2 linked regions of the Macaca fascicularis genome follow. The protein of the gene in region 1 interacts with the protein of each later gene in a pairwise test. Links are inferred from orthologs where the notes say so. Each region holds a gene or a part of one and is shown on either strand. Other genes may lie near its edges.

The links.
Region 2: the proteins of NTAQ1 (region 1) and TOLLIP interact in binary tests that used the Homo sapiens proteins (3 or more experiments, as listed by UniProt). The two-hybrid records come from large-scale screens. The link is inferred for Macaca fascicularis from reciprocal best matches to the Homo sapiens genes NTAQ1 and TOLLIP.

Annotation. Positions count from the first base shown.
Region 1 is NC_088382.1:133,069,030-133,072,679, reverse strand, and holds part of NTAQ1 (protein N-terminal glutamine amidohydrolase), read right to left. Parts: intron 1,554-3,650; coding exon 1,454-1,553; intron 1-1,453. UniProt on the Homo sapiens protein: Mediates the side-chain deamidation of N-terminal glutamine residues to glutamate, an important step in N-end rule pathway of protein degradation.
Region 2 is NC_088388.1:1,216,310-1,219,959, forward strand, and holds part of TOLLIP (toll-interacting protein), read left to right. Parts: intron 1-37; coding exon 38-187; intron 188-3,650. UniProt on the Homo sapiens protein: Component of the signaling pathway of IL-1 and Toll-like receptors. Inhibits cell activation by microbial products. Recruits IRAK1 to the IL-1 receptor complex. Inhibits IRAK1 phosphorylation and kinase activity.

The DNA of each region.
Region 1 (3,650 bases):
ACCCTAAGTCTTAATTTTCTCATCTATAAAATGAAGCAAGTTGTCCAAACCTTGCCTGCCTTCACAGGGCTTCCATTGGGATCAAATGAGATGATGCCTGCAAACGTGTTTTACAAAATACGAAGGGCTTCCTTTTTCTAATTCCTCATATAAGTTGACTGTAGTTCTATTTAAACTCCAGAGACAAATCCTTATTTTAAAACTGAGAGTATGCATATCTAAGTAATTTTTTAAAAGTCTACATCTTCCATCTTGAATTTAAAAAAAGAAAAAAAAAATGGCCAGGCACAGTGGCTCACGCCTGTAATCCCAGCACTTTGGGAGGCCAAGGCAGGCAGGTCACCTGAGGTCAGGAGTCGGAGACCAGACTGGCCAACGTGGAGAAAGCCTGTCTCTACTGAAAATACAAAATTAGCCGGGCATGGTGGTGGGCACCTGTAGTCCCAGCTACTCGGGAGCCTGAGGCACAAGAATCCCTTGAACCTGGTAGACAGAGGTTGCAGTGAGCCGAGATCGTGCCATTGTGCTGTAGCCTGGGCGATAGAGCGAGACTCCGTATCAAAAAAGAAAATAAAAGACAAACAACAACAACAACAACAAAACCAGGTCTACATTAATGCCTAAAGAAAAGGGACTCAATCTGTGTAGACCATCACAAATTTCCTTACCTAAAATAAGGGACTAAGCTGGGCACGGTGGCTCACGCCTGTACTCCCAGCACTTTGTGGGAACAAGGCGGAAGGATCACTTGAGGCCAGGAGTTCGAGAACAGCCTGGCCAACATAGCAAAACCCCAGCTCTACTAAAAAATACAAAAATTGCCGGGCGCGGTGGCTCACGCCTGTAATCCCAGCACTTTGGGAGGCCGAGGTGGGCGGATCACAAGGTCAGGAGATCGAGACCACGGTGAAACCCCGTCTCTACTAAAAATACAAAAAAAATTAGCCGGGCGCGGTTGTGGGCGCCTGTAGTCCCAGCTACTCGGGAGGCTGAGGCAGGAGAATGGCGTGAACCCGGGAGGTGGAGCTTGCAGTGAGCCGAGATCGCGCCACTGCACTCCAGCCTGGGCGACAGAGCGAGACTCCGTCTCAAAAAAAAAAAAAAAAAATACAAAAATTAGCCTGGCGTGGTGGCACATGCCTGTAAGTCCCAGCTACTCGGGAAGCTGAGGAAGGAGATGAACCCGGGAGGTGGAGGTTGCAGTAAGCCAAGAATTGCACCATTGCACTCCAGCCTGGGCAACAGAAGGGACTCAACTCATCTAACTCAATCATGCCTTGTAAGGAAAAAAATCTCATTCAAAAGAAAACTTTTAAATGTTGCTGTATTTTATAAAGCACACTTCAGAAGAGTACTACACCCATGCTATATTTTGCTTCTTTTTTTTAATTTAATTTAGCTTCTAATGTCATGTTAAATCTCATTTTCTTCCTGCACTCACTCACCAACTTACCATCTTCCTCTCATTAGATATGAAGACAGCATAACATTCTTGCAAAGGATACTGGTCATGGTTTTTGATGTATTCACAGAGCTTCCAAATATTTTCTTCACTGAAATAAAATAATTGTTTAATCAAGATTAGAGAACATCTATGTGTCTTTTAAAATTGAACAAAATACTGATGATGGCATCAAAAAGTTGGAAAAGACCTTAAACACCATGCCATCCAACAACTAGCTAACGTTTGAATCTCCTCTAAAACATCCCAACAAGCTGGTATTCAACCTATACTGTGTGTAAACCCCTCTCCACATAGAGGTGATTACCTTCCCCAGCAGTGCTTGTACATGGAGGCATTTTATAACTGATAAAATGTCAATATTCTATGAGTTTTGGGCCCAGCAACTTGAGATACAGCTGAAATTCTAACTCAGTCACTTACAAGGTAAGAACCTTTGACGGAGGCCGGGCAGGGTGGCTCGGGCCGGTAATCCCAGCACTTTGGGAGGCCAAGGCGGGTGGATCACGAGGTCAGGAGTTCGAGACCAGCCTGGCCAAGAGACCAGCCTGACCAATATGGTGAAACCCCGTCTCTACTAAAAATACTAAAATTAGCCAGGTGTGGTGGTGGGTGCCTATAATCCCAGCTACTTGGGAGGCTGAGGCAGAAGAATTGCTTGAACCTGGGAGGCAGAAGTTGCAGTGAGCCAAGATTGCCTCAGCCTCCTGAGTAACTGGGATTATAGGTGCATGCTCCTATGCCTGGCTAATTTTGTGTTTTTATTTTTATGCGTTTTTTTTAGATGAAGTTTCACTGTGTCACCCAGGCTGGAGTGCAGTGGTGCGATCTCAGCTCACTGCAACCTCTGCCTCCCGGGCTCAAGCGATTCTCATGCCTCAACCTCCCAAGTAGCTGGGATTACAGGCTTGTGCCACCATGCCTAGCTAATTTTTGTATTTCTAATAAAGACAGGGGTTCATCATGTTGGCCAGGCTGGTCTTGAACTCCCGACCTCAGGTGACCAGAGGTCTTAAACTCCTGACCTCAGGTGATCTGCCTGCCTCGGCCTCCCAAAGTGCCTGGATTACAGGCGTGAACCATCTTGCCTGGCCCCTTTGTATTAACTCTAAGCCCACCCTTACAGGGGAATGAACAAAGAGAAACTACAACCTATACCTCTTCCCATATCCCTCCAAATTAATGACTCCCTCTTCTTTTCTGCATGCATCTTTTATGGCCTTCTATGATGCCTGCCATTTATGGATTTGTATGTCTCTGCTCATGGTCTATAAGCTCTAATTTATCATCATATCCTCCAAGCACTTAGCACAGTATTTTGTACATTATAGGCTCTTGAAGATATTTGCGGTAAACTCCCCAAAAACTTCTATAAGCCAGACAGATAAGTGTCGTCTTCAAACCTGGCCTTAGAACATTTAGAATAAGGAAATTTTATCTACTATATATATGCCATATGTGATGCTGAAACAGTCAGTAATTTTTTTTTTTTTTTTAAAGGTTGTCTCGCTCTGTCACCCAGGCTGGAGTGCAGTGACACAATCTCGGCTCACTATAACCTCCACCTCCTGGGTTCAAGTGATTCTCCTGCCTCAGCCTCCCAAGCAGCTGGGATTACAGGTGTCCACCACCACGCCTGGCTAATTTTTGTATTTTTAATAGAGACAGCGTTTCACCATGTTGGCCAGACTGGTCTCAAACTCCTGACCTCAGGTGATCCACACGCCTCAGCCTCCCAAAGTGCTGGGATTACGGGGGTGAGCCACCATGCCCGGCCCAATCAGTAAATTTTTATTAATCTATAGTATATATCATATGAAGTAGTCAGTATCAGTAGCAATCTCCCTCTCTCCAACTTTTCTTTTTTTTTTTTTTTTAACCACAACCATCACTTTTCCCTTGTGGTTTCCTATTTATTTTAGAGAAAAAGAAAACCATGGGAGAAAAATATGTCCAACTGCCATATTTTAAGCCTAGTCTTATGGAGCATTGAGACAGGTAAGGCAAAGATTGATGAACTGAAAGAGTGTCTACTTCCATAAGATGGTGACCATCCTCAGGGCTGTTTATGCCTTGCTTCATTTTTAGGTAGCATGGCATGGATGAAATTAGGCTTTGGGCCGGGAGTGAGGGCTCACACCTGTAATCCCAGCATTTTAGGAGGCCGAGGCAGGTGGATCACCTGAGG
Region 2 (3,650 bases), on another chromosome or scaffold:
CCCTGACTCACTGCCTCTCTGGTCCCCGGCCCCGCAGGTGTACATCGGCGAGCTCCCGCAGGACTTCCTCCGCATCACGCCCACACAACAGCAGCGGCAGGTCCAGCTGGACGCACAGGCGGCCCAGCAGCTGCAGTACGGAGGCACCGTGGGCACCGTGGGCCGACTGAACATCACTGTGGTTCAGGTGGGCCTTGGGGCACCCTCCTGCCTGCCTGGGGCTGGTGCGCTCAGGTGGGGTGGGATTGAGGATTTCGCGTTTACACTGCATTTCCTAAGCGGGCAAACGGAACTTCTGATTCCCGCTTTTCCTGAAATGTGTGATGTTGAAAACGATCTGTGTGAAAAATACTGGCATTGACCCCGGCTTTTGCCAAACATAACTCAAATGATGAGTAGTGGGGGTAGGTGGGCGTCCGCTCCGTGTAGGGTCCAACCGGCTCCACCACCAGGCTTGAGGATGCCCCAGGACGCCTCCCAGGCCCCTGCCGGCAGCTGGAGGAGGCGTAGCTGGCCCCCCACCACTCGGCGTGCGCTGCGCGAGTGGCTTCCCATTGGCCCCAGTGCCGATGCCCGCACCCTCCCCTCCCCACAGAGCAGCCCTCGGTCAGCCTCAGGGCTGGACACCAGCCGCCAGGACGTGGTGACTCAGTGGACTTTCAAGTGAAAACCAAAATCGGCAGATTGAACACCGATTTTGATCACACCAAAACATTCCGTAAGATCACAGGAAAAGGAAACGCATTGTGAGCCACGCAGGCTTTTGTAGAAATGCACAAATACAGCAGGCAGAAGAGTCGCCGCGGACCTCACAAATAAGACTTGGTTTCAGGGGCTTCACTTGGTGTGGTGGGCACAGCTGTGCCGTCACCCCTTCCTCGCAGCGTGTCTCAAACCCTTGCCTGTGCAGCTGTTTCTCTGCTGGTGTGGCCCATCCCTCTGCCCACCCAGTGAACTCCTGTAAGCCCATGCTCTCCTGCCCCAGCTGCCACCAGGCCACCTAGTGCCATCACCCATTCTCAGCCGCTACCTCCTGGCAGGGCCTGGTGACCGCAGGGCACTCCGCCTCACAGTTCAAACTCCAGACCTGGCTGGGCCTTGGAGGTGGCCCTGGCATTGCCCACGCCTCCGGCCCCCCTTGGTCTTCTCCCACATCCTGGAGCCCACTGCAGGCAGCCTGTCTATTTCCTCCACGCGAGTTCACCCAGCCTTCCGTGCCACAGCTCCAGTGGGGGGGAACATTCCTGCCTCCTCACTGGGCCACGTAGCTCAGCACCCGCTTCCTGCTTCTCTTGGCTTCTGGGCAGCTGCACATGTGGTTCCCTGCTTGCCTCCCCTGGCTGCTTCCCCTCATCGTCTCCTGGGGCCCCAATGGGATGCCAAGGGGTCTGGTCCTCAGCCCTCCTCCCGTCTCTGCCCACACACCCCAGTGACTCCTGCGTCCCTGTGGGTCTAAACACCTGTGTGCTGGTCCCAGCCTGAGCCAGACACTCAGCTCCACCCCAGATTCCCAGGTACGGACCATGGCCACATGGCCTCCCCGGATGTCCCGAGGGCATGCCAGACTCCATGTGCCCAAGGTGGACCTCTCAAGCCACCCTCCCAGCTTCTCCCCCATGTCTGCAGGTGGTTGCCCCACACTCTGGAAGCTGAGGCCCAAAGCTCTGGTGCTCCTGGTGCTCCACGGTTCATCTCCACCTCTTGCCCTTCAGGCCTGACCCTCAGCACAGGCGCCACCTTCCGCCGGTCCAGGCGGGGAGCCCCCTGCACCACCCACTGCCTCCGCTCAGCCACTGGCTTGTGGCCAGAGCAGGTCACTCCCTGCACAGGCCTTTCTCGTGGGCATTGTCCTGCCGAGGCTTCTCAAGCCGGGGCCCATGTTTTGCCTCCCCCGGTCACTCCTGACCTTCCTGTTCCCTGGCTGTTCTCTTCCCGCTTCCTGCAGCTCTTCCTCCAGATCCTGCAGCCCACACATTGGTCCTCCGAGCTGGTCGTGCCTGCAGTGGTAGCGCCGTCTGCCATGCCGTGTGTCTGCCGCGCGTCTCTTGCCCGTTGTCGGGGAGGCAGCGGTGCCTGCGTGTCCCCGCAGTGTCCGTAGTGCCCGCAGTGCCCGCAGCGTCTGCCGCATCACAACAGCGTGTGGTTGTGTGGGGTTGTAGTGAATGGGCAGATGCTTCCGTAAACATCAAGGAGGTCACTTCAGTAGAGCAGTTGATGTCACAGGACGCTCCTCCTAGAGTTTTCTAGCCACAGTGCAGAGGGCAGTGGGAGGAGACGGGAATGACAGGACAAGGCTGAGTGTGACAGAAGCGGGCAGGACCCAGTGTGAGCAGGTGTCGGTGACGGGCACAGGGACGCTGGCAGCGGGAGTCCCACATGCCGCCCGGAAAGCTGCCTTTGCTCAAAGCCTTTAAAGTTAATAATAATAAAAAGTCTTAGCAACTAGGCAGAAACAGCACAGTTACCTGAAAGCTTGGGAACATCACGCTGGTCTCAGACTTTCCTGCTACATACCTTCCAGAAAATAGGGCAATTTCTAAGGAGTTTAGAGGGGCAGAGTTTCGAGTGTAAGAGCTGATCTGGCAGATCTGTGGGTGTGCAGCAGAAGGGAATTGGAAGCTGCTAGTCACCCAGAAGCTTCCAGAAAACTGTTCCTCCGTAGTATTCCAGAGCACGCTCCGGCCACCCAAGAAACACGCTAAAATTAAGGACCCAAGAATGGGGCGGTTTTGACATAAAACGGCCGGCCACAGTTTTGGTTAGAAGTGAAAGGAGGGAACTTGTATGTGGATGAGAATAGAAAACAGAGGACCCGGCAGTCCAGAGATGTGGGCACAGGAGGGGAGAGTTCAGCTGTGCGGCGGGGGGTGGCGACGATGGGACAGCTGTGCCCTCAGAGGAGGCGGTGAGGACAGGGTGGTGGTGCCCTCAGAGGGGGCGGTGAGGACAGGGTGGCGGTGCCTTCAGAGGGGGTCACCGAGAACTGGTTGTCTGTGCCCTCAGGGGGGGTGGGGGGCGGTGAGAATGGGGTGGCTGTGCCCTTAGGGGGGCGGGGGCGGTGAAGATGGGGTGGTCGTGCCTTCAGAGAGAGGGCAGAGAGGACGGGAGGCCGTGCCCTCAGAGGGGTTGGGGGCAGTGTCTGGACTCTGTTACACTGGGAAGGAGGAACTGGTGGGCTCTGTGTGGCTGGGAGGGCCGAGGTGGCTCCTGGGGTCTTTGTCACCAGCTCCTGGGGGTGAGCCAGGTTGGCCGCAGGAGAGCGGGTGGCGGCAGTGCGGGGAGGCCGTCTGCGTTCCAGGGAGGCAGCCGGAGCTGCAGGACTGAACCCAACCCAGCTCACGACGGCTTTTCTCTTGATTTTTTCTTGTAAAAGTTTTACAGTTCTAGGTTTTATATTTGAACCTGCCATCCACGTTGAGTTTGTTTGCCGAGCAATCATCTTACGTGCCGCAGTCTTCTGTCTTATGTGCCACAGTTTTTTGTCTTATTCTGAATGTTCATTCCCTTTAACACACGTTCACTCCCACCCCGCGGACCTCAAATGTCCCAGCCCAGCTGAGTGCCTGGCCTGAAGTCGAATCTCATGGTCTACATGTGATGTGGCTCCTTGTGATTGGGAGACACAAGAAAGACAAGTTCCTGTCCCCAAA